3 linked regions of the Ovis aries genome follow. The protein of the gene in region 3 purifies or fractionates together with the protein of the main gene of each other region. This does not show direct contact. Links are inferred from orthologs where the notes say so. Each region holds a gene or a part of one and is shown on either strand. Other genes may lie near its edges.

Region 1 (8,079 bases), on a different chromosome or scaffold from region 3:
CTCGTCTATGCAACTTTTATTCAAAGTCTAAGTTAGCTGAATTTATTAGCCAAATGGTAGTGCTATTCCACTGAAATATCTCAAGTCAGAGAAATAGTATCTATTTTGAGAACTGTTGTCTATTTTAAATCTATCAGTTTAATTTAGTGAACATGTACTGATAGCATGCCCTGGGTTAGAAACTGAGCTAATTACTCTGATAGATTAAACATATAGTAAGGAATTTGCCATTTATTTGGAGGAGTAAGACTAGTCATACAGTTACCATTAAAAAGAAGGCGAGTCAGAACCAACAAAATAGGGTGACGCCAGAGTGCTTCCAGGTTTGAGTGGAGGAAAGAATCATATTCAATTAGAAAGGCTTGGGAAGGTTTTCCAAGAAAAGAGATATTTTAGATGGTGTTCGTAGTGTCGATAGGAATTTGACACAGAGATCAGTTTGGGAGGGCATTCCAGGCAGGAAGAACAGCACGGACTAAAGCACAGAGGCAGGGAGGCTGGGTGTGCTCAGAACTCTAGTGTGGCAGCATCCAGTGTGGGTGAGTAAGCCAGAGGAGGCTGGACAGATGAGCAGAGGGCATGTGGTGGGGAACACGCATGTGCAATTACATGTTTAATGAGGAGTCATTCGAGGTGTTTGAGACCTTAGAGTAATTAATCTGGGGCCAACTGTAGAATGCCACTGGGGAAGACCTGGTGGCCTGGACATTCGCAGTCTTCTTCAACTCTTGTCCTGTAGTCCTGAGGGCAGCAGAGCCAGAGATGCAAGGGCCCTGGATTTAGACTCAGGAGACCTGAGTGTTGGTCCCACTCTGACACTGAGTTAGCGGATCTTCTTGGACAAGTCACCCAGCTTTCAAGCTCATTTTGCCATCTGTAAGATGGGACAGTAATCTCTACCTCAAAGGATTGTTGGGAGTTATAAATGCAGTAACTTATATGGCAGGTCTTTATAAACCAACCTTTATATTGCTTTGTAATTTATAATTTATGCATGTCTGTCTTAATTTGACTCCTTTTTACCTCTCTGTTTCTGAAATATAGGCTGCTGTAAGTCCTATAGTTTGGACTTGAGTGATTAGTGTATGTTAGACTGTTGCCATTTATGCTTATAAAAAGTATCTTTTATTTAAATGCCCTGTTTAGAGTCCCACAAAAAAGAATAGTAGTTATGTCACTTTGACATGTATCCTTCATCTCTCTGTAATACAGGTCACCCCAGTCCACCCTCTGAGAAAAAGGAACTGAAAAAAGCGGCTCATTTAACAGGTCTGTATCTGGAGGGCCATCTTGGGAAAGCCTTTGGCAGAAAGCAGAGTAGCTGGTTGGTTTCTGTGACTGAGCTCTGAGGGAGCTGATACTTTCCAGTGACAGTATTTGAAACCCGAGTAGTCACATCTTTCTAGTCACGCCAACACCACACACATGCACACACACACACACACACAGGGCGGCTCTAGGCAAGGCCCTGCTCTAAGCTGGCGAAATGGAGGTGCTTATGACATGATCCCTGCTCATAAGGAACTCACTCTCTTCACTCACTCCAAGGACCCTTAGGGAATTTGGGGCATAGGTCCAAGAGGTAAGAGCTGGGGAGATGGTGAACAGTGAATTATTTTTTTGCCTTGGTTTTCTGGGAGAGTTTTTCTCTGTCCATGAGCAGAAATAGGAGAGGGGAGGCCAGGCCCTGGCACACATGGTCGTGCAGTGGAGTGACATGATTTGATAGCAAGACAGTGGGGGCACTGTCAGTGTGAAGTCCACAACATCTGCAAAGTGGATGAGTATCACAGAAACTGGCATGCTGCTGTCCCTGAAACTATGTCAGCAGAGGCTGTAAAATGACCCAGTTTAGATCAACAGATATTTCTTGAGCATGTGCTGTGTGCCGAACCTGGGCCACGTGGAGGTGAATCACACATGGCTCCTGCCTTCAAGGAGCTTACAATCTAATAGGGAAAGACAGGTATGAAAGCAATATTTCCAGCATTCTCTGCTTGAAGTAGGTATGTACACCATGCTGTACAGATACAAAGGAAAGGGGATTCTTGCCCACACTGAAGAATCTTTCGTGTAGGTAAAGAGTTGGACTAGATGATTCCTAAGGTCTTTTCCAACTTTAGAACTTCAGAGTGCCTTGGATTTGACTTCTCCTCTCACAAAGAGACTCAAACTCTAGCAATTTGTATGCTAGTTCTGAACCTCTGTTCATAGAATCTCTGTTCCAGAGAGCTAAAATCATCCTAGTCTTTTCTCAGTGCAGTTGGTTAGAAACATATGTTATTGTCCCAGTTGTGTGGATGATAAAATTGAGGGAGTCAATTTGATAAACGTGCTGAAGAAGTTCAGTAATAGGTCAGGCCTGACCCATCACCCAGTTCTATGTCATTTGGGGAAAAAGCACTTGCTCAAGGAATGGTCCACAGTTTTGCCTTGAAAGCTTGGTCTGTGGGATACATGAGCATTCCTGGCTGAAAGCTCCTCTCTCGTTTGATTTCAGGCAAGCCCAACTCAAGATCCATCCCTTTGGAATGGGAAGACACCTATGGAATTGCCCTGGTCTCTGGGGTGAAGTACAAGAAGGGCAGCCTTGTGATCAATGAAACTGGGCTGTATTTTGTGTATTCCAAAGTGTACTTCCGGGGTCAGTCCTGCAACAACCAGCCCCTGAGCCACAAGGTCTACTCCAGGAACTTTAGGTACCCCCAGGACATGGTGCTGATGGAGGGGAAGATGATGAACTACTGCACTCCTGGCAAGATGTGGGCCCGCAGCAGCTACCTGGGGGCTGTATTCAATCTCACCAGTGCTGATCATTTATATGTCAATGTGTCTGAACTCTCTCTGGTCAGTTTTGAGGAATCTAAGACATTTTTTGGCTTATATAAACTCTAAGCAAAGCACTTTGGGATTCTCTCCAGTATGATTCCCTGTTTCAGGCCCTGAGAATATTGTCTTGAATGAGAGTTTTCTTAAGTCCACTTGAGGCCATGAGAGAAGACATGAACCAAGAGAATCTTGAGACCACGGAGTCCAGCAGGTCCACAGTTCCTTAAAGGCCCACAGCCAGACAGGAGGAGGACTATGAGTAACGAACATGAAACTCTGGGCTGCCATGTGGAGACGCAAAGGCAGGGAAAAGTGACTACCAGTTGCTTATGCCAGCAACTACACTTGTCTTAAGTGGCCTAGTGCATTTGGACACATTGAAAATGGCACCTTTTAACTCACCTCTTGGGGTGGGTCTACTGTCTACCTCAGAGGAGGCTGTCTTTCATGTATATGGGTGTGACATGAATGTATAAGGGATGGGAAAAGAGGACCAGGCTTGCATGATAAGCTAAAGAGACTGAAAGGCCAGCATCCCACTGGTAGCATCTTTATTTCTAGATGTACAGTCTGAGCCATCAGGTGATGTTAACAGAGAAGCAAAAGAAATCTTTGGGAACTCAAAACACTCCCTATACAACATGCATATTTCCAGTGCAATTGTAGGGGTGTGTGTGTGTGTGTGTGTGTGTGTGTGTGTGAGTATGTGACTAGAGGGTTACATAAGTAGAGAGAACGTGGGAATTGGGAAGGGCATATTAGAATATGGGCTGCATTTGGTGGTAGATTTTGAATGCTTTTTGGTAACCAACTCTAATAGTCCTCAAAGCTCTTTGATTGTCAGTTGTTAATGCCATTTTTCCATAATATAACTATATTTATATGTATTTTGTACATTTTTAATGAAAAGAATACCCATAACAAAAACTATATTTTATAATATAGGTAGGCATTGTGAGTGTTCTATTTGGAAATCACTGAGGTTTGTATCTTTTCCTTATTATTTCTTTTCTCCATGGCTTCCTCACTCATTATGATTTAAGCCCACTTGAAGAAGAATTTACTAGTGTGAGAAGAGTTATGAGGCAGACCTTTGCATCTTTGCCAGGCTCTCCTCTCCTTACTATATTCTCTTTCCCTTCTTGCTTCTACTACCTAGAGTTTCTATTACCAATATTATTGCCAGTGTTAAGCTCACCTATTTCCCATAGATTTGATGACAGTTTGTCTTTTCCTGGTGGCAGAGACATGCACGATGGAAAGGGCATAGACTTGGGCCTAAAAACCTGAATTTGAATCTTTGTTCCTCTACTTGATAACTATGCAGGTCACTTGACCTTTTTTGGACAAAAGGGGGGTGATACATAAAGTATCTAATACATAGTAGAATGTCAAAAATAGTATCTGCCATTATTAATAAGGGGAGGTACTTCATTCCAGAAGAAGCTACAAATCTGAGAGATCCATCCAAACACCTGTTTCTTGCCTCCTCACCTTGGTCAGTCACAATGACCTTTTCCTATTTTGTCCAAATGCTCATTACTATGACTTCTCCTTATACTTTGTCACTGTTAAAAATAACACTTCTGTTAGAATTTGACTTCAGCACCTTATTTTCACAACACAATCTCCTATAATTCCAACTCAATTTGGTCCAACATCTTCTCTCTTAAAATATATATTTTTCCATATTTGACATTCAGTTAATAAATAGTATCATTTTCTTGCTTATCTATCAGCTCCTTCTTTATCTTCACTCTTTTCTCTATTCAACTTAGATTCCATGATCTGTCATTACAATCAGTACCTTGGAAAGACCTTGAACTCCAAAATACTTGGTTACAGTCACTATTTTCCTCTTGGAAAATCTCATTTTCTTTAAGCTGGCATCCTAGCAGCTGGATGTTGCTGGAGAAAAATAACTCAAACTGATTGATTAGTTTCATTTTATTTTTATCTAGCATCTGCTTAAATCAACCAATGAATTATTTATCTATCAGTGAATTATTTCTGTCTTTTGATTGATTTGAATAGGTAATACCTACACATAGTACAAATTGTAAAAGGTATGCGAAAACATAGGATGAAAGCAAGTCCTCTTCTCATCCTGTCCTGTGGCTCCACCTCTGCCCATAAGGAACAGCACTGTCTCCTTATGTAACTTTTGCGAGATGGTCTATACATAAATATGACATCACTTTATGTCAGGGTTTCCCAAGCTCGGTTCTGTTGACATTCTGAGCTGGCTGATTCTTTCTTGTGAGGGTTGTCCTGCCTGCACATTGTAGTATGTTTAGCAGTATCCCTGCCTTCTACCCACTGGATACCAGTAGCATTCCCCTCCCGCCATGTGTGATAACCAAAAATATCACCAAATGAAGTCAAATGTCCCCAGGCTGGGAGTGAGGAGACAAAGTCCCTCCTGGTTGAGAACCACTGCTTTTTATTAGTGATCAGAGATTTCAAATCAGCATTCAAAGGCCCACCACTTTTTCTTCAGTTTCTTCATGGGCATTTTTTTTTCACTGTTTGAGACAATTACATCATGTCTTTTCCTCTTGTAAACCAACCACATCCCCTCCTCCCACCATGGAATCTCACTTCTACCACTGAAACACAAACCCGCCTGCGTCTGAATGATCTCTTTCTTCCATCCAGTACGGAGGAGGACGAGGACCATCTATTTGTGCGCTAGACTCCTTTCCTCTTCCCTGCTTTACCTGTTTACAATTTTTCTTCTTTCTTCTGGATCTTCAAACTAGCTGTCTATGAAATAATGCCCACTAGCATGTAATACATATATACTCAAGTATTTCCTTTCACTAAAAGACAAATCAAACCACAAATCAACCCAAACCTTTCTTTAACCTTCCCCTTCATTTCTCATTTTTCTGGTAGAGACAAACATCTGAGAAGGCTTTTTCCACACACATGAGCTCCATTTTTTTTTTTTTTCAGCCAGGAATCTGGCTAGGTTATTTATTTGACCACTTAAAAAATCTGGTTTTTTCTTTTTTTTTTTCCTGTTAGAATAAAAGTTCTGAAAGCAAGACCTTTTCTGTTGTGTTTGCCTTTGTATTCCAGATTACCTCAGTGCCAGCACATATTAGGTGCTCAATAAATATTCATTGACTAAATAACTTTAGTCATAAGGCAAAAGCCTTTCAGTGGATATGTTTTTCAGAGTAGTGAATCCATAGCTGTGTTGCCTCATGGATGTGTGTGCATGTTTATCCATCTTTGACTAGATTATCCAATGAGAGTTTGAGGCTACAGATGAAAAAAAAATTGTGCATCCTAATTCATGGAATTAGAAAACAAGAAAGATCTAATTGGTCCTTGGAATTACCAGGAGCTTTTGGGAGAATGTGGAGGAAAAATTCTAGGTAATTAGAGCTGAAACTGTCATTTAGAAGATACTCAATACATATTTCTCTTCCCTGGTAGCTCAGACAGTAAGGAATCTGCCTGCAGTGCAGGAGTCCTGAGTTCGATCCCTGGGTTGGAAAGATCCCCTGGAGAAGGGAATGGCAACTCACTCCAGTATTCTCACCTAGGAAATTCCGTGGACAGAGGAGCCTGGCAGGCTATAGACCATAGGGTCCCAAATGATTGGACATGACTGAGCAATTAATACTTTCACTTTTTCAATACGTATTTGTTGAATAAATTAATGAACAAAACCAAAGGTGCAGGTTGGAGTATGCCACCTGATTTCCTTAAAACTCTTCTGTTGATTAATCTGCTTTATATGGTCAGGTTTCTGACCAGGTACCTCTTGGAGAAAGTCAGAGAGGTATTCACCCTTCTTTCGGCTGATTGTCTGTACTCCCAACCCTCACAATGACATTTTCCTCATCAGTTTCTTCTTCATATGGCTTCATCCATTGAAGTAAACTGGTTCTAATGGTCATGGGAAGTTGGCTGGACCATTTTGAGGGGTCAATGGGACCTTCTAGAGAATGGGGTTAGAGCAAAGAGGAAATAGGAACGGTGCTGGGCATCCGGAGGAGACTTGATGCCATTAGCTAGTGGTGGTACTACTGGTCCTTTTATGCATCTGAGTCTGCTCTGCTAGGATGCCTTCAGGATTTTCTGAAGACAAGTTTGTAACTTACTATTTCATTTCAGGGAAGAGGTATTAACAGTTTCCTTAGCTATTTTTCTGTAAGCAGGAATACAAGGGATGTCAAAACCCTAAAACTTTTTGAATGTGCTCAACAAAAATAGAGTCAGCCATTGTTCCCTTATGAAATGATAAACCCAAAGTAGAACACTTATTAAAAAAAAAAAAAAAGTCACCTCTGGTTCAGTAGTTTGAGGTTTTCTTTCTTTTCAAAGAACTAAAACCATAGAAAACCATGTTTTTTTTTCCCTTAGCCCCCTAGAGTGGTAACTTTGTATCCTCTGAAGTAGGTTTTGACTTACCACAGCTTTTCAGAAAAAAAGGCTTTACTGGGACCATCACTGTGAGAATGACTAACTTGAAACAACAGATCATTGGAAGACATTGAATTGCTTAGAGAAGCTGCCTCCTCAAAGCCAGGCTGTAAGATTTCCTTAAGGAAGTTAAGCCTTAGACATTTCTTGGTCCTTATTTAAGGAAGAGTGCTGTTAAATTGTATGTTAAATTACATTTTTTCAAAGGAGTTTGGTTAAGTTCTGATGTTAGTAGAGACGATTTTTTACTTTCTCTTTGTGTGTACGTATTTGTGTGTTTCTTTTCCAGGGGTTTGAATCATCCAGAGGCAGAATGAGGTAGTCCTAGGAAAGCTGAATTAAAGCCCATTCCTTAGGGCCTTCAGACTCAAAAATGGACCTTATTCAGAAATAATATAACTACTGATAGTAGCCAGGAATCTTTGAGATTCATCTAGAAACCACCAGCCTTGGAAATACAGACAGCTAAGTGGGTATTTTGCTCCTTACGGTTTACCCAGAGGGAAGAAAAGCATCACCTCAATGACAACTTTCTTGCTGTCGCTAGTTTTCCCTTTGCTGGGAGACATTTCTTCACTGTTCTACCTGGTACATCTTTCGAGAAAAGTGCACTGGGCATGTCTCTTCTCTTCCTCGGAGACCCCTTCACCTCTATGGGGTCATCCTTTCTTCTCTTTCTCAGTAGAATGACATGAACCTCAATCACATTCTGTTGAAAGTTGTCTTCTGTTCTAAAAGTTGTCCTAAGTTTTCTGAAAATTTCAGGAAAGACCTCCATTTTTTGAGCAGTCCACATGACATTAACAGCAG
Region 2 (8,079 bases), on a different chromosome or scaffold from region 3:
ATCACTTATCTGACAAAAGACTTGTATCCAGAATGTATTTAAAAAAACACTTAAAACTCAACACTAAGAAAACAAATTAACCCAATTAAGAATGGGGAAAAACTTGAACAGACATTTCACTAAGTTGGCAAATAAGTACATGAAAAATTTTCAACTTTTATCAGCCAACTCTGATGAGATAACATGATGCATAGAGTTCTAGTTTCTCCATATCCTCACCAGCACTTGGTATTGTTGTTTCCTTTATTATTATTATTATAAAATGAAAAAAAAAAGAGACAAATAGGAAGACTACTAAGTGCTAGTGAGAATGCAGAACAACTGAAATTCTCATGTATTGCTACTGAGAATGTAAAAGGTACACAGTGGAAGATAGCTGGGAAGTTTATTCAAAAGTTAAACAAGCACTTGTCACATGGTTCAGCAGTTCCAGCACTAAATATTTACCCAAGTGAATTGAAAACTTATTTTTACATACAAGTTTGCATAATAATGTTTATAGTAGCTTTACTTATAATTGCCCAAGCTGAAAATAACCTACATGCCCTTCAGTAGTGACTAGATCCTAGCTGTAAGAAAAAATAAATGCTGATTATAAACTCAAATGTCAGAGAGGGTGAGAGAGATGATGTTATTACAAGAAGTAGAACAGGTGACCTCTGTGTCTTACTGAAGATTATGTGTCTTGTCCAAAGAGCATAGGGTCAGATCATGAAGCTCTAGCCAGCTGTTACCAAGTGCAGTTGTCAAGTCTGTAATTTTCAAGAGCAATGAGACCTGTATTTTCATATGACATCTCCCAACTTCAAAATGGTGACAGCTCCTTCAAGGAAAAGAATCATTGTGAGGGGAGAGGGAAAGGAAGGAGACTTTTCATTATAGATTGTTTTATAATTTGGACCATGTGAATACCTTACTCAAAAAATAAATTTAAGATATTAAGAACAAAATATTGGCCAACAGGAAAAAAGAAATTTTTAATAATATGTAGATCAAATTCAGCCTGTAAGTGACCAGTTTGCCAAATTGGCACAAAAGAATTGCCATCAAGAGGAGACGGTAAGCCTGCTAGCACAGAAGGTAGTTTAATAGTCTGAGTAACTATCCAGAACCTGATAGAAGGGATTCTTGCATTGAGTAGAAGGTTGGAAAGCTTATCCCCTACATGGTGACAAGTGAGGCAGAACCAAAAGGGAAATCATTTGCGGATGAAAACCAATCTCAGATTACAGTCTCATAAAGCAAGGCTCCTGTCGACCCATAACTACACAGAACTCAGCAGCCCCTGCTCTGGTTAACAGGAGGGATCTAGACAGATGCGGCTGGTCTACACAGGTGACCCTCACCCTTAGTGTTATTTTGAATTTGGTGAAAACTCCCCTTTACCCAGAAAGATTTACCCCATATGTATTGTGTCTGTTGTCTCTAATTTCTTCATGTTAGACAAAACCTGTTCCCCAAATTTTCTTTCAGAATGAATGATGCTTGAGGTAGAGGTGGGACTGGGTGTGTGCTGCAATGTCCTAGTTAAGAGTCTAGTGACATGACTGGCCAGCAGCTTCTGCAGGCGATCAATTAATGGGTGGTTTTCCTCCCAGACTTCAAAGAAGGACAGGTGCTACTTGGTAGGAAAGCAGTGAGTGTTGGGTTGAGACAGAGATGCTGACAAGATGGAGGGTTCACAGAAAACAAGCTTAACCTACTGTACACATACACATGCACACACACACCTACATACACACACACTCACACACCACCATACACACTACCACATAGCTATGCAGTCAGACTATAGGGCTTCAGTTCTGGGAATCCACCCTAGGGCCTCCCAACATGACAGACTTCCCCCAGCAAGGAACTCTCTCCCAAGCCCTCCCACTTCCCTTCTAGGTCCTAACTCCTGGTAGAAACTATTGGAAAATTTCAGGCAAAACAAATGATAGCTAATATTTCTGCAGTAAATAACCAGGTTGGATTATAGCTTAAACTGCTGGTGTTCATGATACCTGGCAACCGTTGAATCTGTAGGTCATGAACACCCAAGGTCTGCAGGTTTGTCACAGATGTGATATGCTGCTCGTCTTCGAGGGTGAGGGGACTGGCTTCCACTATGAGGGCATGAATTTTCGTACAGGTGCTGAGGACTGAACTGAGGCTTCCAGCCATTCCGACACATCTCTTAATGTGCAACCTGAGGCTTGTAGCTGAACTGAATATTTTCTCCAGATATTTGACATCTTTCTTACTCAACTTGCAGAAATCCCGGAGTGTGACTTCCAAGGTCTTAAACTCCTGCTTCCCGTTGAAGAACAAAGACACAGCCCTGCTGGGAATGTAGGTTCCTGAGAACTCTTGATCCTGGGTCCTGCCTATGTCTTCTGTGGTCTTGTCCCACGAAGCCACAGTCCCCCCATAGAAGTCCAGTTTAACGAAGTCCAGAGCACTTGCACAGTTAGGCAAGTCTTCAAAGAAGTCAAATAAGTAGTCAGGGATATTCTCTGAGTTGATATATAAGCTTTTACCGCGAAAGAAAGCTTCAAATTCATTGCTCAGGCTAGACGTGGATATACTCTCATGGAATAAGTTGATTCCACACTCTGTAAAGGAATTGATGTTTATGGCTTTCTGAATTTCTTGCACAGTGGTGCTTTTCATATTTTGCATAGATTCCTGCCTCCAGAGAGGCCTCTTGGTGACAGAAAGTCCCAAGAGACTGCCATGTTCATACACTGATGACAAGTGTCTCAGAACAGTCCGGGTGGCTTCAGCAGATGAGCCGCATGTGTACAGAAGCAAGTTGCTGTACTTGGATGTAATGTCTGAAATGGAAACCATTTTCTGCAGGTGACCATTCCCCTTGGTCACTTCTGCTGGTTCTCCAGATGTCAGTAAACTGCTGAGTCTGCGTCCTGCTGTGTACTCCTGGAATGACTGATGAAAGAACTTATACTTTGGCTTGAACCGTTGCGCTGTGTATTTACAGAGGAGTCCTGTTGTCAGCAGGACATCCTCGTTCACATTGGACAAGTCATCTGGTTCGAAATCAAACCTGCGGGAGAACACACCCTCCAGAGCTAGGTCTCCACAGTGGTCCAAGCTCTGAGTGACTTCACTAGGAGCCAGCCCTTTACGTTTGTGCCTGTTTTTATTTATTAGCAGATCATAGAAGGCACAGAACAGCGTGGTTTGTGTGTGAGAGTGGAACTCACTTTTCCCCATCTGAATTGCACAAGTGATGACCACAAAGAGAGGGGTCTTCATTAGATTCCTCAGGCACCTGGATTTCTGAATTTGGAGCAACAAGCCTTCAGCGAACTCCTTTCTCAGCACCTCCTGAATGAGAGCCTGGGCACTGCTCTCAGTCATATCCCCCACCTCGGCAATCAGTGCCCCAAACTGCCGGATGTGCCTCAGGCTCTCCGTGGTGGTGGTGACGATAACCATATTCTTGAAGCGGTGGTTTTCCTTTATCAGGGCTTCAATTTCTGGGCAGTTCTGGGCCTTGAATTCATTGTAGCCATCAAGGAGAAAAAGAACCCTCTGCCGTAACTTCAGCAGCGTGGCCATGAAAGTCTGCTTACTGATCACATCAGGTATATCCAGGAGTTGGTCAGACAGGGTTTTGAAGAGTCCACCCTGGGCCCTGCTCAGACGAAGAAAGAAGACTAATTTGAACTTGGCGAGAGCCTGGCACTCTCCGGAGGCCCAGAGCATGGCGATTCGCTGCAGCAGAGTGGACTTCCCTTTGCCTGATTCCCCTTCAATGATGCAGGGGCTCTGAAGAGTGTCCAGCAGGCCACTCAGGGTCAGCTGTTCCAGGCGGTGATGGTGTTGGTCCTTCTTCCATAGCACTGGTTCTGTGAAGGTGCTTTTCAAATTAAACATGATGTCAATATCTTCACCCAGGGGATAGAAGTTGAGAAAAGATGGGCTCTCATAGAAGTACTTTAATTCCTGAGCCAAATCATCTAAATCGTCTTCTGACATCTGATGAAAAAGACCTGTTAGAGAAGAGGTGAGTTAAAAAGGACCCAGTTCTGTGTGTCCGCAGAACTTAGCGTTCAGGAGGAGGAAGGAAGGGGTGGTGCTGAGAATCTGACTTTAATTTCCTTCCCCAGTTCTGGAATGGCAGAAAGGGTTCCAGATATTTACTCCTGCTTTTCTGTGTTGGCCTTTACCCCCATTCCCCTTCTGTTTCTTCATTTCCAACACCAAACTTTGTAGCAGCTGATTGGAAAGGAGAGGAGCCAGTGTTTGGTATAAGGAATGTACATGAGACTAGTGGGGAAATGGCTTAGAATGATGGTCTGGTGACACTCAGCAAATCAAGAGTTAACCTTGATTAATATTTCATGAAAAGCAGAATCATGCTTCTTTAGTCAGTCAGGCTCTCTTTAGAGTGGAGCTTGGATCAGAGTAGGTAGTCACGGGGCCGCTTGTCCAAAGACGGTCCTCGTCAGATTGAGGAATGTTGAAAACTGCACTGACTTCTCTTTTTTAGGGGTGTGGGCACTTGGCATGACGGATCTTAGTTCCCTGACCAGGGACTGAACCTGTGCCCCCTGCAGTGCAGTGTGGAGTCTTAACCACTGAACTGCCAGGTGAGTCCCTGCTTTGACTACTTAAGTACCTTCATTATCCAATTTGATTCTGAAGTCAGACTATGCTAAATCATTTATTCCCTGACCTCGGAGTTTCTTATTTGGCTTCACCATCAAGTAATCTAGTGGGAGTGTTTTTCTCTTTCCTGAGAGTGTCTGAGCTTTTCCTGAATGTGACCAAAGCTCACAGCCCAGGAATATGAAAAGGGAGGAGAGCAGAGGCTCTGTCATGAGGATTATGGATCTTCTTCGTGGTTTATTCTCTTTGTAGAACATATAAAAGCAAACTGATACTTACTTAGTCCATGCAGTTCCTGAAACAGAGGATAGTTCCACTTTTCAAGGGATTTAAGAAAGAGGTTACAGGCTTCTGAACCCTTCTTCAAAATCATGTGAATGATCCCTCTTGCAGCGTCCTGCTCAAACCTCTCGCCAAGAATGACACTTACTTCTTCGTAATTCATGACATTCCATACAAATAGCTCATCCAAAATTTGCTTTATCACAGTCATTCCCATCCTTCGAATGAGAACTTGACTGTTCTCCTTTATGAAGTTCACTGAGAAAGTGAGGGGAAATATACATATTTATTCATTTGTACAAAATATGTATACTAGCATCATGTTGCCAGAGCATTAGGTTCATTCGTCCCCCACCACCACCTCCTTTGGACCTATCTTGAATTATGGGAATACCGAATGCTTGAATTCCAGGCCTTCAAGCAGAGCTCTGTAAAGCCCTTCATTCCTAACATCAGAGTCCTTGGTGAACAAGATGTTTTATTCTCTGATAACAAAGTAAAGTGAGTAATCTTGTCCTCACTGTACAAGAGTAAGGTCAGAGGGGCGAGATGTTGGGCTTTCAAACAAGGAGACTGGCATACAATCTGCCAGTTGCTACCATCTGTGTAACCTTGAAAAAGTGAAAGTGTTAGTTGCTCAGTCAAGTCTGACTCTTTGTGACCTCATGGACAGTAGCCCTCCAGGCTCCTCTGTTCATGGAATTCTCCAGGCAAGAATACTGGAGTGGGTTGCCATTTCCTTCTCCAGGGAATCTTCCCAACCCAGGGATCAAACCCAGGTTTCCTGCATTGGCAGACAGATTCTTTACCATCTGAGCCAACAGGGAAGCCTTGCCAAGTTGCTAAGCCTCTCTGAACCTGTTTCAGTGCTGCACTGCCAACCATTGAAAACATTGCCTCTCTGAGGGAAAAGGCCCAAATTCATAGCACATACCAATGTGCACATTATATTTCCACTGTGGCCAATTTCAAGCTAACAATGTATGTCAGCTGGCTAGCATAAAGCATAAACATTTACCAATCAGGTCTCATAAAACAGTAAGAACCAGCTCCAGTATACCATTGGTTCCTTATCTGTACAATGGAGTTGAGAAGTTACTTATGAAGTTGTAGTGAGAATTCATGTGTAGTATTTCATAGAAAGTAATAGCTCAATAAATGTTAGCTACTATTGTTAGCCATTATTCTGTTGCCACCACTCAAAGGAGTAGCACATTTTATCTGAGGTGAAATTTGGTGTTTTCTGAAGAGTATCACTGCAAAACTCTCATCTCCCATGGTGAGGTTCCCTGGAAAAGCTGTCTCATGTCTGACTTGCCAAGATCTAACTCTCCGAGGCAGTCTCTGCCAGCTCTGAGAAATGTCTCTCTGGTGTCGTACTCTTAGACATTTGTCTGCATTACTTTTCTCCCGGGCTAGGCTGCTCCTGCTTTTCAAATCTTTCTTGACAAATCCAAGTGGATATCTGCTCCCAAAGACCCCACGGCCTCTTTGATCTGAACTGCATCATCAGGTGCTCAGACCTCCAGAGTCCCATCCAAGGTCCCCCTTGTCTCTGTCGCTGATCCCTACTGCTAACCTCAGCTGGAATGTCACCATGTTTTCTGAGATGGTACACATGTTCTATATTCGTACTGTCTAGCAGTGGAGCCATTAGTCATATGTGGCTACTGAGCAGTTGAAGTATGGCTTGTGTGACAGTGTGACTGAATTTTAAATTTTATTTAATTTTTGTTTATTTAAATTCACATCTTAAATAGACACACATGGCTACTTGCTGCTAACTGCATTGGACAGCATACTCTAGACATGGTCATCAAGGTGGAAAGAGTTACGTTTTGGTTGCCACTTAGATCTACACAATGATCGCGCAGGTGATGGCAGGGGACCAATATTTTAAAACCATCACTCTTTGTGGCTTATCTGTGGTTCTGCCATTTATCCCAGGCCACCGTATTTATAACTGAATTCTCCAAATCACAAAAGAATATATGATGGGAATTCCATATATAACTGATCGAAGGAAGGCATAAATTGATTTTTCTATTCAATACCACCCATATATGAAAGCATACTATGTAATCAGGCAGATTTGATTTCTAGTATACTTACTTTTTCTGAAAAAAAACTTCCCAGCTTTTTGTATCTAAAAGACAATATTATTTCCAAATGGAGAAATCAAATGTGACTCCAATATTATCCTCTTCTTTCTGTAAAATGGCTCCTCATTCTGTAAAACTAACAAGACAGAAGCTATCAGGAAGCAACCATTGTCACTTTCCCTTTTTTTTTCCACACCAAGAAGAACACAGATTACGTAATGTTTGACATCTGTTTTGTTTATTTACTGAAGTTTTTGAGACCTTTCTGTACCAGCTAAATATTAAACTGCTTCATTTTTTTTTAAAGATTTTTGATGTGGACCATTTTTGTAGTCTTCACTGAGTTTGTTACAACATTGTTCCTGTTTTATGTTTTGGTTCTTTGGCCAGGAGGCATATGGGGTCTTAGCTCCCTGACCAGGGATTGAGCCCACACTCCCTGCACTGGAAGGCAAAGTCTTAACCACTGGATCACCAGGGGCGTCCCCAAACTGCCTCATTTTAAAAATCAGTCTCATTGACGTGTACTTCACATGCAATAAAATACAAGGAACTTTCACAAATGTACACACCGAAGTTAATTTTACCCGTCAAGATTTAGAAAATTCCCATCAGTGCAGAAAGTTCCCTTGTGCCTCTTTATAGTCCCCATCAAAGCAACCACTGATCTGATTTCTTTAACTATAAGTTGCTTTTGCCTGTTCTAGCACGTCTGTGTGCGTGTGTGTGTGTGTGTGTGTGTGTGTGTGTGTGTAGTGGGAATTCCTAATAATGTACTTTCACAGCCTTGAGAAATTTCACAGAAATAGCACCTGGAAAAACAGCATATGTTAAGAAACTGTGTTAATGATTATCTTACATGTTTTTCTTAGAATAATCGCCTGTTACAAACCCCAAGACCAGACTCAGAAGGGAGTATGACTGGGATCGTGAAAGCATGGACCTTGGACACTGGGTCAGCGTCAGGCATGAACGCCGCCTACACACTTGCTAATTGTTCCCAAGACTAGCTGAGAAGGGGTGAAGCAAGGAGATCTGGACTATGTCAGTGTAGTGTCGTGAGAAAGATAAGATC
Region 3 (8,879 bases):
TCCCTGTTCTTCACATCTCCTGGAACTTGCTCAAACTCATGTCCATTGAGTCAGTGATGACATTTAGGATGATCTTACAATACAAATCTCCAATGCAACTCTGATTATTTTATTAGAATAATTTCTTAGAAATAGCATTATTGAGATGAAAGACATAAAGCTTTTTAAGGCTTTTGTTACCTATTCAATAGCACTTTCTGACATACAAAAAAATTCCAATCCAAAGCCAGAATGACATGAGTTTGAATATAACATGATTGGCTCCTGTCCTCTATAACCAGGTCATTTCATTTTCTTTGTAATAGCTTGGCAGTGCTTTCTAAGTGATTTTTACATCACATTAAAATGGACACTTAGTAGGGAAAGTACTGGTGAGGCTTCTTTCCTGACCCAGGTTTTCCAAAACACATTGTGGTATAATATTGTCTTTGTTTAGGTCACCCATCTCTCTGCTCGTAGTACCTGGGAAGCACTATTACCTGCTCCAGATTTTATACCATTAACCACGGACCACCTCTAGATTAAGATCTGTAGGAAGAGGAACTAAAAGGCACTTTTTTTTTTTATGGGACCTGGCTTTATTGCATGAGCTCATAAGCCAGAAACTTTATTAGAGTAATATTTTAAAAAGAATAGTCATTGCTCTATTTTTCTCATCCTAAAGTAGTAAAAGTAACACTTTTTCCTTAGAGAACTTTTAAAAGAAAAATACCACTTGGAAAAATTTAGAAGTAATTTTGGGGTCACATTTGTGGGTTCTTTCCCAATTTTATTCACATATATGCATATATAATGTATGCATATACATATGTAGAATATATCAATTTGAATATATTGATTTATATTGCATGCAAGATAGAGGAGAGGGGTGGGAATGGAAAGGCCTTCAGAAGTTTTCTTTTACTTTCAATTATACAATATCTAAGCAATAAGCCCACATACATATATTTGTATTATATGATATGTAACTATATCTATTATTTTTATAATGTGTGCCCCAAAGTATTTTTATATAGCCAAATATTTGTATTATGATATGTAAATGTTTATAACATATAACGATATAAACATAAAAATATTTTTCTTGTCTCATTTACTGCAATCCTCTCTAGAAATTGCTATTATCGTCTTCACTTTATTACCATGAAAAATCAGTTCAGAAATAAACTAGTGAGAGGTATCAGGCCCAGATTAGAGCATCTCAAGAGGCTTAGTGACAGACCCTGCAAAGATTTAGATTTTATTCTAATTGCAGTTGGAAGCCAGTGAAGAAATTTAATAAAGACACATAATCAAAATATTTTTAAAGATTATGAATTACTTAAAATTTTAAAAGACTAAGTGAAGTGAAGTGAAAGTCACTCAGTCATGTCTAACTCTTTGTGAACCCATGGACTATACAGTCTTTAGAATTCTTAAAGAAACCCCCCAAAGAAACAACAAACAAAAATTCTTAACAAATCCACTAAAGCAGAGAGAAGATCAGAACCTTACAACCAAGCTGGTATGCGCTGGAGCCTGGATTTAAACCTCAGCACCTCATCCCAGAGTCCCGAATTAGCACTGCCTGTTACACCACAATTAAATTGCAAATAAATCTCATCTAATCACAAACAATCCTTCTAACAATATTCTAGCAGCATCTTAGCTCTCTCAGTCTAATGAAAAACTACCTCAAAGCTGGAGAAAATAAACCCAAAATTTGTATTCCTCTTCTGAGACAAAAATATGTGTCTCATTCACAGCTTAAGAGTACTGGAAAGTTAGTCTCAGGCCTGAAAGCCCTAGGTAATAGGATGGCCATTCCCTCCAGTCCAGGAGGATCACTCCGAATTGGGGTTCCCATTCCGAATCAGGATTCCCACTCCAAATTGGGATTCACCCAGAACCTGCCAGAGACCCACACAAGCACTGTTCACTGCAGGGCCCCAGCCAGCACTATCACACAGCCCAGAAAAGGTATCCACATTCCAGCCAAATTAAAAACCTACCAAACTGAACGAAGGTATAACTTCACCTGTAAATGCTTAATCTCACACTTCCAAACCAATGCTGGAATGAAATTCATAATTCCACCTATGAATGGTTAACTCCACAAATACTGATTATCAATCTATTGCCATTATATTACTCCCTGTACTGTTCTTTACCCTTTTAATCCCCCCACCCCCATCCCGCAAAGATAAATAAATAAACAATTGAGTGTTTAGCACTGTGTGTGTGTGTTTCTATGTGTGTCTGTTTAGGTGTGTGTGTGTTTATGTTGGTGGTCTGTGGGTCGACAGACGGGTAGCTACAGCAGCAAAGTCAGTTGAGATTTGAATTTTGGTTTCTATTCTTCGATAAGTCTGGCTGGCATAAGGGTGAGGCCTCTGTAAAGATGAATATATTTGGAGTATTCCCCCTCTAAAACTCAGGAATGCATCATCTACCAAAGCTGGAGGGGCACGGACATCTGGGATCTCTGAACCCTCACCACGGCCTTCAGAGGCACGGCTAACTCTCCCAGTTTCTTCATCTACACTCAAATACTAGGATTACCCTATGGGCCCTTGAACCTGCCAGATCCCATTCTCAGTAGCCTAGAGAGTTCTAGATTCAAAGGCCTTCCTCTCCAAAGTCCCATCAGATCTTACCAGAGGCGAATCCTGGAACCTTCACAGCAGCAGCCACTTCACGGGCCTCTTCTCTCAGTACATCTAAGACAGGAATTAGAGTCAAATGAAGAACCAACAACGTAGCTCGCTTACTTCCTGTTTTCAAAACTCCTGAGTCACCATAGGCTGAGTGAGGCAGGCCAGCCTCCAGGCAGCACCCGCATCCTCATCTCCAAGAAGGAGCCCGTGGAATAAGAGGTAGGTGCTGGATGGGGACGCTGGCCATCTGAGACTTGCCTCTGGCTATGTGACTTTGGGCAGGTCATTTTCTCTTCGGGGCTTCTGTACCACATTCCAAAAGGAAAAAGGAACTGAATGATAGCTAAGAACCCTTTCTTTTCCTTTTCAGAAATATACAGATTTTTATGGGTTCATTATTAAGACTTCAATGGTTTCCTTCAATAATACTCATTGAGCACTCCTGAGTGGTCTTGAGTTCTGGAACTATGGGCCCTCACTATGGTTCAGAGGGTCTACTGACCCCCACAGAAATTCTCATGGTTTCCCCCACCTACATTCATATACAAGATCTCACCCTCAGCAGTCTAGGTCTAGAAAACTCTAGAATCATATTGTTTCCTCCCAAAAGGCCCAGCCAAACTCACCAAAGGAAAAATAAAATCCCAGGGCCCTCACCATGGACTGGGACCTGGAGATAAAACAGAGAACAAAACTCACTTTAGCCCTGCCTTTTGGCTCTCATCAGTTGTTTTCTGATGATTAAAGTAGAGGAAAAAAAAAAAAAAAAACCTCTCTTCTTTGAAACTACATGTTCTCTTTCCCCAAATGGAGTATTAGCTTTCAGAGGGCAAATTTCACAGCCGAGAGGATTAACAAGATAGCTGAAAATGCCCCTCCACCTGCAGAGAGCTAGGTAAGGGTTCTGTGTTCCTTTTGTGCCCTTAACTTCCCTTGACTCTGCCCTGAGAACTCCGAGTGAGAAGGCAGCCACAGAATGAAAACCTGTTAGTGGCTAAATCCTATCCCAGGAAGTGCCCCCTTGCTCTTTTCTTGCAGCCTCCTAAATACATCCACCCAATATCTGTCCTGCTGTTTTATGGCTGGTTCCTATCCTAGGCTGTGATCTTCACAAAGGCAGGGACCACATCTTTCATGTCCATGTTTCCAGTTTGTGCCACAGGAGTAGAAATACCTCGAATATACAAAGGTCTCCTGCAGATCAACAAGGAAAAGAAACCCTGACGAAAGACAATGGATCTGACTATAGAGTTCCTTGACAGAGATACTCAGATGGCCAAAGTGTGCGAATGATACTCAAATTCATGACTAAGCTGGGGAATACAACGCAGGTATGAGCTACCTACTTTGTACCTATCAGAATGGCAAAGGTTTGCAAGCTGGAGCCAGCCAAGTTCTTGGTGGGCCAGTTCTTCTATAGCCCTTATATAAGTTGTAGAGACTGTCCGTCATGGAATAATAAGCAGCGGTTACAAAGTGGGAGCAGGCAAAACACATAGAACTTAAAGTACAGAGTGCTTACTTGCAAAAAATAAAAAATAAAAAGTCAAAAACAGAACAAGCAAATTACAATATGAATACTAATACATAACATGTAATAATAATTGCTAACACTTACTGGGTACAGAGCAACACCAGTCACTAAGTGGCTAAAGCTGTTATTATCAAATAAATCCTCACAGCTACCTGTTGAGGGAGTGTTAATCCCACTAATGATGAGGAAACAGAGGTACAGAGAAATTATTTTCTTGCTCTGGTCACAGAGTTTAAGACACAGTGTACACACACAAAACAATGGTACATTTCACAAAGATACAGAACAATTAAGGATATGTATCATAAGATGCGGAGGGTTGTCTTTGGGAGCCGGCTTCTCGGGTGGCTCAGTGGAAAAGAATCCAAGTGCCAATGCAGGAAAAGCAGTTTCGATCCCTGGATTGCAAAGATCCCCGGGAGACAGGAGTGGCAACCCATTCCAATATGTTTGCCTGGAAAATCCCATGGGCAGAGAAGCCTGGCGGGTACAGATTCTAGGGTTGCAAAGAGTCAGACATGACTGAGCGACTAGCAAACACACACACTTTGGGAGCCAGCGAGGAGGATAGGAGATAGGTTGGGGAGTGGGGAGATCCAAGAAAATGGATAAAGCAGGGCAGGGTCGGGGGGCCCATGGGTCCCCAAGACCAAGGGTTTATAGGGAATCGGGATCTGATTGAGTGATCAACTCAACCCTCTGCCCCAGGACAAGTGGTATAGAAAATAAACATAAAAAGGTAAATAAAGTCTTCTGGGAAATCTAAAGTAAACCAGCAGGAGACAGTGTACCTATACTCGAGGCAGCAGAGGAACTGGCGCGTCCTCAGATTAAAAAGTAGCAAAGCCAGGGGCTGTGGTTCAGATAGGAACCCACTCAGAACCTGGCACTCTGGCAGGACTGGGAGGTGACTTCCCCGGGAAGTCCTCGAGTGAGAAAGGCGGCATCCAGAAGCCAACTGGGCACCAGGCACTCACCTGCTCCACACAGTCCTGGCAACATCCCAGCCACCAAACTCTCGACGACAAGACCCCACACTGCCTAACTTCACACTTCGTATTACTGAGGCTCGTTCTTAAAACCCAGCTGGAGATAAATCCCTGGAAATGAGGCAAGCGGGAGGGGGAGACAGGAGGTGGGGTTGGAAACGCCTCCAGGAAGAAGTTTACTTTTACTTTCGATGCCTCCACCAGGCTTTTATGCCTGCCCCTGGAAGACTCACTTCCTGGTTCTCTCCTCTCTACGTTCAGAATTTGCTACCAAATTCCGCAGGGCTTTAAAAAATCTTGAGATAAAAGAAAGAGAACCTGTGAAACCATTGCCTTCCAGCAGAAGGGCAAACTCTGGTCTTCAGGAAGAGAGAAAGAAAATTCCTGAAGAGAGAGAACTAGAAAATAAACTTGATTTGGAAAGCTGGAAAACTGAGGTGACTCACTTGAACAGAAAATGTTTCTTATTTAAAGGAACCGAAGCCCAATTTCCCTACATTCAGAAGTGACCACAGACATGCAACTAAACTGCATGTCAACATGCAAACTAAAAACCAGGAAGCTGGACGTGTTTTATTGGAAAGCATTTTACTCACTGCATTTAGTGTTTATCAGCTCTCTAATTTTTAAAGAGACTTGAGACTGCCTGTGGCCAGTAAAATGTCATTCTCGCTTGAAAGGGGTCTGCAGAGAAAAATGCTTCCTCTGTTCTGTGGCCTGAATCTTAGCACTGCAGCCGTGGACAAGCTCCCCAGATCATCTGGCAAGAACTCTTCCTGGGTCCAAACAGATCTCTAGCTGAGTTGTGAGGAAATTCAGCACCAAAAGGGGGTGAGGTCCTGCCCAGCCCTAAGCAGGGGTAACCATCCTTGTCCAGTGCTGAGCCCCTGGTGGGGAGGGGAGTGTTGGGGGGAGGGGACAGTGATGTGAAGACCTCTCCTCTGGGAGTCTGAACCTCCCCAGCTTTTCTTCATCCTCCACCCTCTCCCCACCCTCTGCCTCTGTTAACTGTTTGAATTTTTTAAAGAGTTTTCTGCCTTTTTGTTTTCACATCTTCTAGATTTTAAAACTACGACACCAATAATAATGCAATATCTGTACGTTGCACCTTTACATCAATTATTTCTCATTCTCCCAACAATGTAGAGGATCCCGCATGTCATGGAGGAGGAAGCGGAGGCTCAAATGAATATATGAATTCGAACTCAGTCCAGCTGGATCCAAAACAAGGATTTTTCCACCATAACACACTATTCCCTCCCCCAAAAGTTAGGATTTGAAATGAACCATGTGGATGGAAGAGTGCTAAATTTAAACTCACATGATGACCTATGTGCAGAGGTCAGAAGGTCACCTAAGAAAAAGGAGGCGGCCTACAGGCACCAGCTAACAGCATAAAAATTCTGTGTGTGCCACATGTATAACCACCCAAACTGGTTCATTTCACTTTCTGAGTAATTCGCAGAAGTGGATGCTATTTTTGCTCTCATTTGAGCAAGGAAGCTGAGGTTTGGAGAGGTGAAAGACTTAGACAAATATCTTCAGCTAGTGAGTGGCAGGATGAAGTTTTTGTGCCTCTCTAAAACCCTGAAAGGTTAATCAGTGTCTGAACATTAGTACACACCCATGGCTCTCAACTTGATTGATCTGAGGGTTAACTGATTAGGTTTCTAAATTGCCAGTCTTCAGGCCCCAGCTCTGAAATTGCTATCTGAGCAGAATTACAGGAGATAAAACAGATTGAGCACTTAACGGAATGCCTGGACCTCCCACAGTTCTTGGTAAGTAATCAGTACCACTGTTACATAAGCTCACATCTGTACAATGGCTATGAATTACTAGACATATAGTGCAGTTGAGGAAGCTAAGTTCAGTGTCGATCAACTGACAAACTGCATGGCCAGCACATGATCCCAAGATTGTCGCACTTGAGCGTTTACCCCCGTCCCCCAATCCCTGGCTTGGAGGAAATGGATGAGCCACCACAGGCATCTACGGAGCAGTACTGAAGATGAGTGGGGAGGTTCAGGGCTTCAGCCTGTCATTTGCAAGGCACTGATCCTGTGCTCTCTTAGTCTTAAATCTGTTTTTAAAAGGAAAACCTATAAGGACTTCCCTTGCAGTCCCGTGGATAAGACTTCCTGCTTCGAATGTAGGAGGCACAGCTTTGATCCATGTCAGAGAACTTAAGATCCCACATACCTTGGAACATGGTCAGAAAAACTAAAATAAAATATTTTCTTTAATGAATAAAAGAGGACAAATAATTAACAAGTAAATTGTAACCCTCAAGTTGGTTAAATTCCTTTTGTGATTTACTTGCTCTAACCAGGTTCTTAAAACTCAACATTCAGAAAATTAAGATCATGGCATCTGGTCCCATCACTTCATGGCAAATAGATGGGGAAAGAGTGAGAGACTTTATTTGGGGGGGCTCCAAAATCACTGCAGATGGTGACTGCAGCTGTGAAATTAAAAGACGCTTACTCCTTGGAAGAAAAGCTATGACCAATCTAGATAGCATATTCCAAACCAGAGACATTACTTTGCCAACAAACGTCTGTCTAGTCAGAGCTAAGGCTTTTCCAGTGGTCATGTATGGATGTGAGAGATGGACTATAAAGAAAGCTGAGCGCAGAAGAATTGATGCTTTTGAACTGTGGTGTTGGAGAAGACTCTTGAGAGTCCCTTGGACTGCAAGGAGATCCAATCAGTCCATCCTAAAGGAAATCAGTCCTGAATATTCATTGGAAGGACCGATGCTGAAGCTGAAACTCCAATACTCTGGCCACTTAATGTGAAGAACAGACTCATCGGAAAAGACCCTGATGCTGAGAAAGATTGAAGGTGGGAGAAGGGGACAACAGAGGATGAGATGGTTGGATGGCACCATCGACTCCATGGACATGAGTTTGAGTAAGCTCCAAGAGTTGGTGATGGACAGGGAAGCCTGGTGTGCTGTAGTCCATGGGGTCACAAAGAGTTGGACATGGCTGAGTGACTGAGAGACTGAGCTGAATTCAACCAGTTTTCTTGTTTCCACCTTGAGCTATGTGTCTGCGTGATTTTAACATCAAAATGAACAGTGTACTTGGTTGTTATTCCTGAGGAAGCTGGAAAGGCTGGATGTGTTGCAGTTCAGCATGACATGGCGGAGCTGTTCCCTGCCCAGGACAGGCAGAGGACCGCCTAGTTTGACTTAAAAGCCAAGAGGTTTCCACTTTCCTGAATCACAGCTCCTATTGATGGCCTGCTCCAGAGACTTCTGGCTACTAACCAGCAAAAAACAGACTTGAACCTGAAAGTTTCTGTAAGAAAGCTAGGAATGACTAACCCTCCTGTTCACCAACTGCAGTACACTGATCTGGACTAACCTCAGGACATTAGTCAAGGACAAATACTGACAGTGAAACAAAAATCCCCTGAACAAGCATCTTCTGTGGTCGGTTACTTCTCTATTGAGTTATGTACAACTGATCCACAGGCCAGGTGGCTGCAGGCCAGGTAGTCTGCTGTGTGGATTCAACAGGGCCCCTCCTGCCCCTTTCTCAAGTTGGCCTTGGCTCTGGCCCTAGAGTCTTGAAGAGAGTGGTGGAGGGAAAAAAAGATTGCATTCCAAGCCAGCTGTTTCACCTCCTCCAGGCCGTGCAGGGAAAGACTCAGCCAATTCTCTAATAAAAGTTTTTAATGGCTGGGGTTTTATTAATAAGTTTTCGATTT

The links. The genes of interacting proteins can lie anywhere in the genome.
Region 1: the proteins of CASP8 (region 3) and FASLG purify together in Homo sapiens (co-immunoprecipitation; 8 studies listed by BioGRID and IntAct, with this or other methods). This does not show direct contact. The link is inferred for Ovis aries from reciprocal best matches to the Homo sapiens genes CASP8 and FASLG.
Region 2: the proteins of CASP8 (region 3) and NLRC4 purify together in Homo sapiens (affinity purification with western blotting; 3 studies listed by BioGRID and IntAct, with this or other methods). This does not show direct contact. The link is inferred for Ovis aries from reciprocal best matches to the Homo sapiens genes CASP8 and NLRC4.

What each region holds. Positions count from the first base shown.
Region 1 is NC_056065.1:39,437,170-39,445,248, forward strand, and holds the end of FASLG (tumor necrosis factor ligand superfamily member 6), read left to right. Parts: intron 1-1,212; coding exon 1,213-1,269; intron 1,270-2,500; coding exon 2,501-2,895; 3' UTR 2,896-5,879; downstream 5,880-8,079. UniProt on the Homo sapiens protein: Cytokine that binds to TNFRSF6/FAS, a receptor that transduces the apoptotic signal into cells. Involved in cytotoxic T-cell-mediated apoptosis, natural killer cell-mediated apoptosis and in T-cell development.
Region 2 is NC_056056.1:91,647,054-91,655,132, reverse strand, and holds part of NLRC4 (NLR family CARD domain-containing protein 4), read right to left. Parts: exon of another isoform or gene 7,877-8,079; intron 7,141-7,876; 5' UTR 7,016-7,140; coding exon 7,015-7,015; intron 5,161-7,014; coding exon 4,900-5,160; intron 4,602-4,899; exon of another isoform or gene 4,502-4,601; intron 4,016-4,501; exon of another isoform or gene 4,002-4,015; coding exon 2,007-4,001; intron 1-2,006.
Region 3 is NC_056055.1:203,613,531-203,622,409, reverse strand, and holds the start of CASP8 (caspase-8), read right to left. Parts: upstream 5,344-8,879; 5' UTR 5,148-5,343; exon of another isoform or gene 3,787-5,147; intron 3,307-3,786; exon of another isoform or gene 3,263-3,306; intron 2,856-3,262; exon of another isoform or gene 2,762-2,855; intron 2,700-2,761; exon of another isoform or gene 2,637-2,699; intron 1-2,636. UniProt on the Homo sapiens protein: Thiol protease that plays a key role in programmed cell death by acting as a molecular switch for apoptosis, necroptosis and pyroptosis, and is required to prevent tissue damage during embryonic development and adulthood.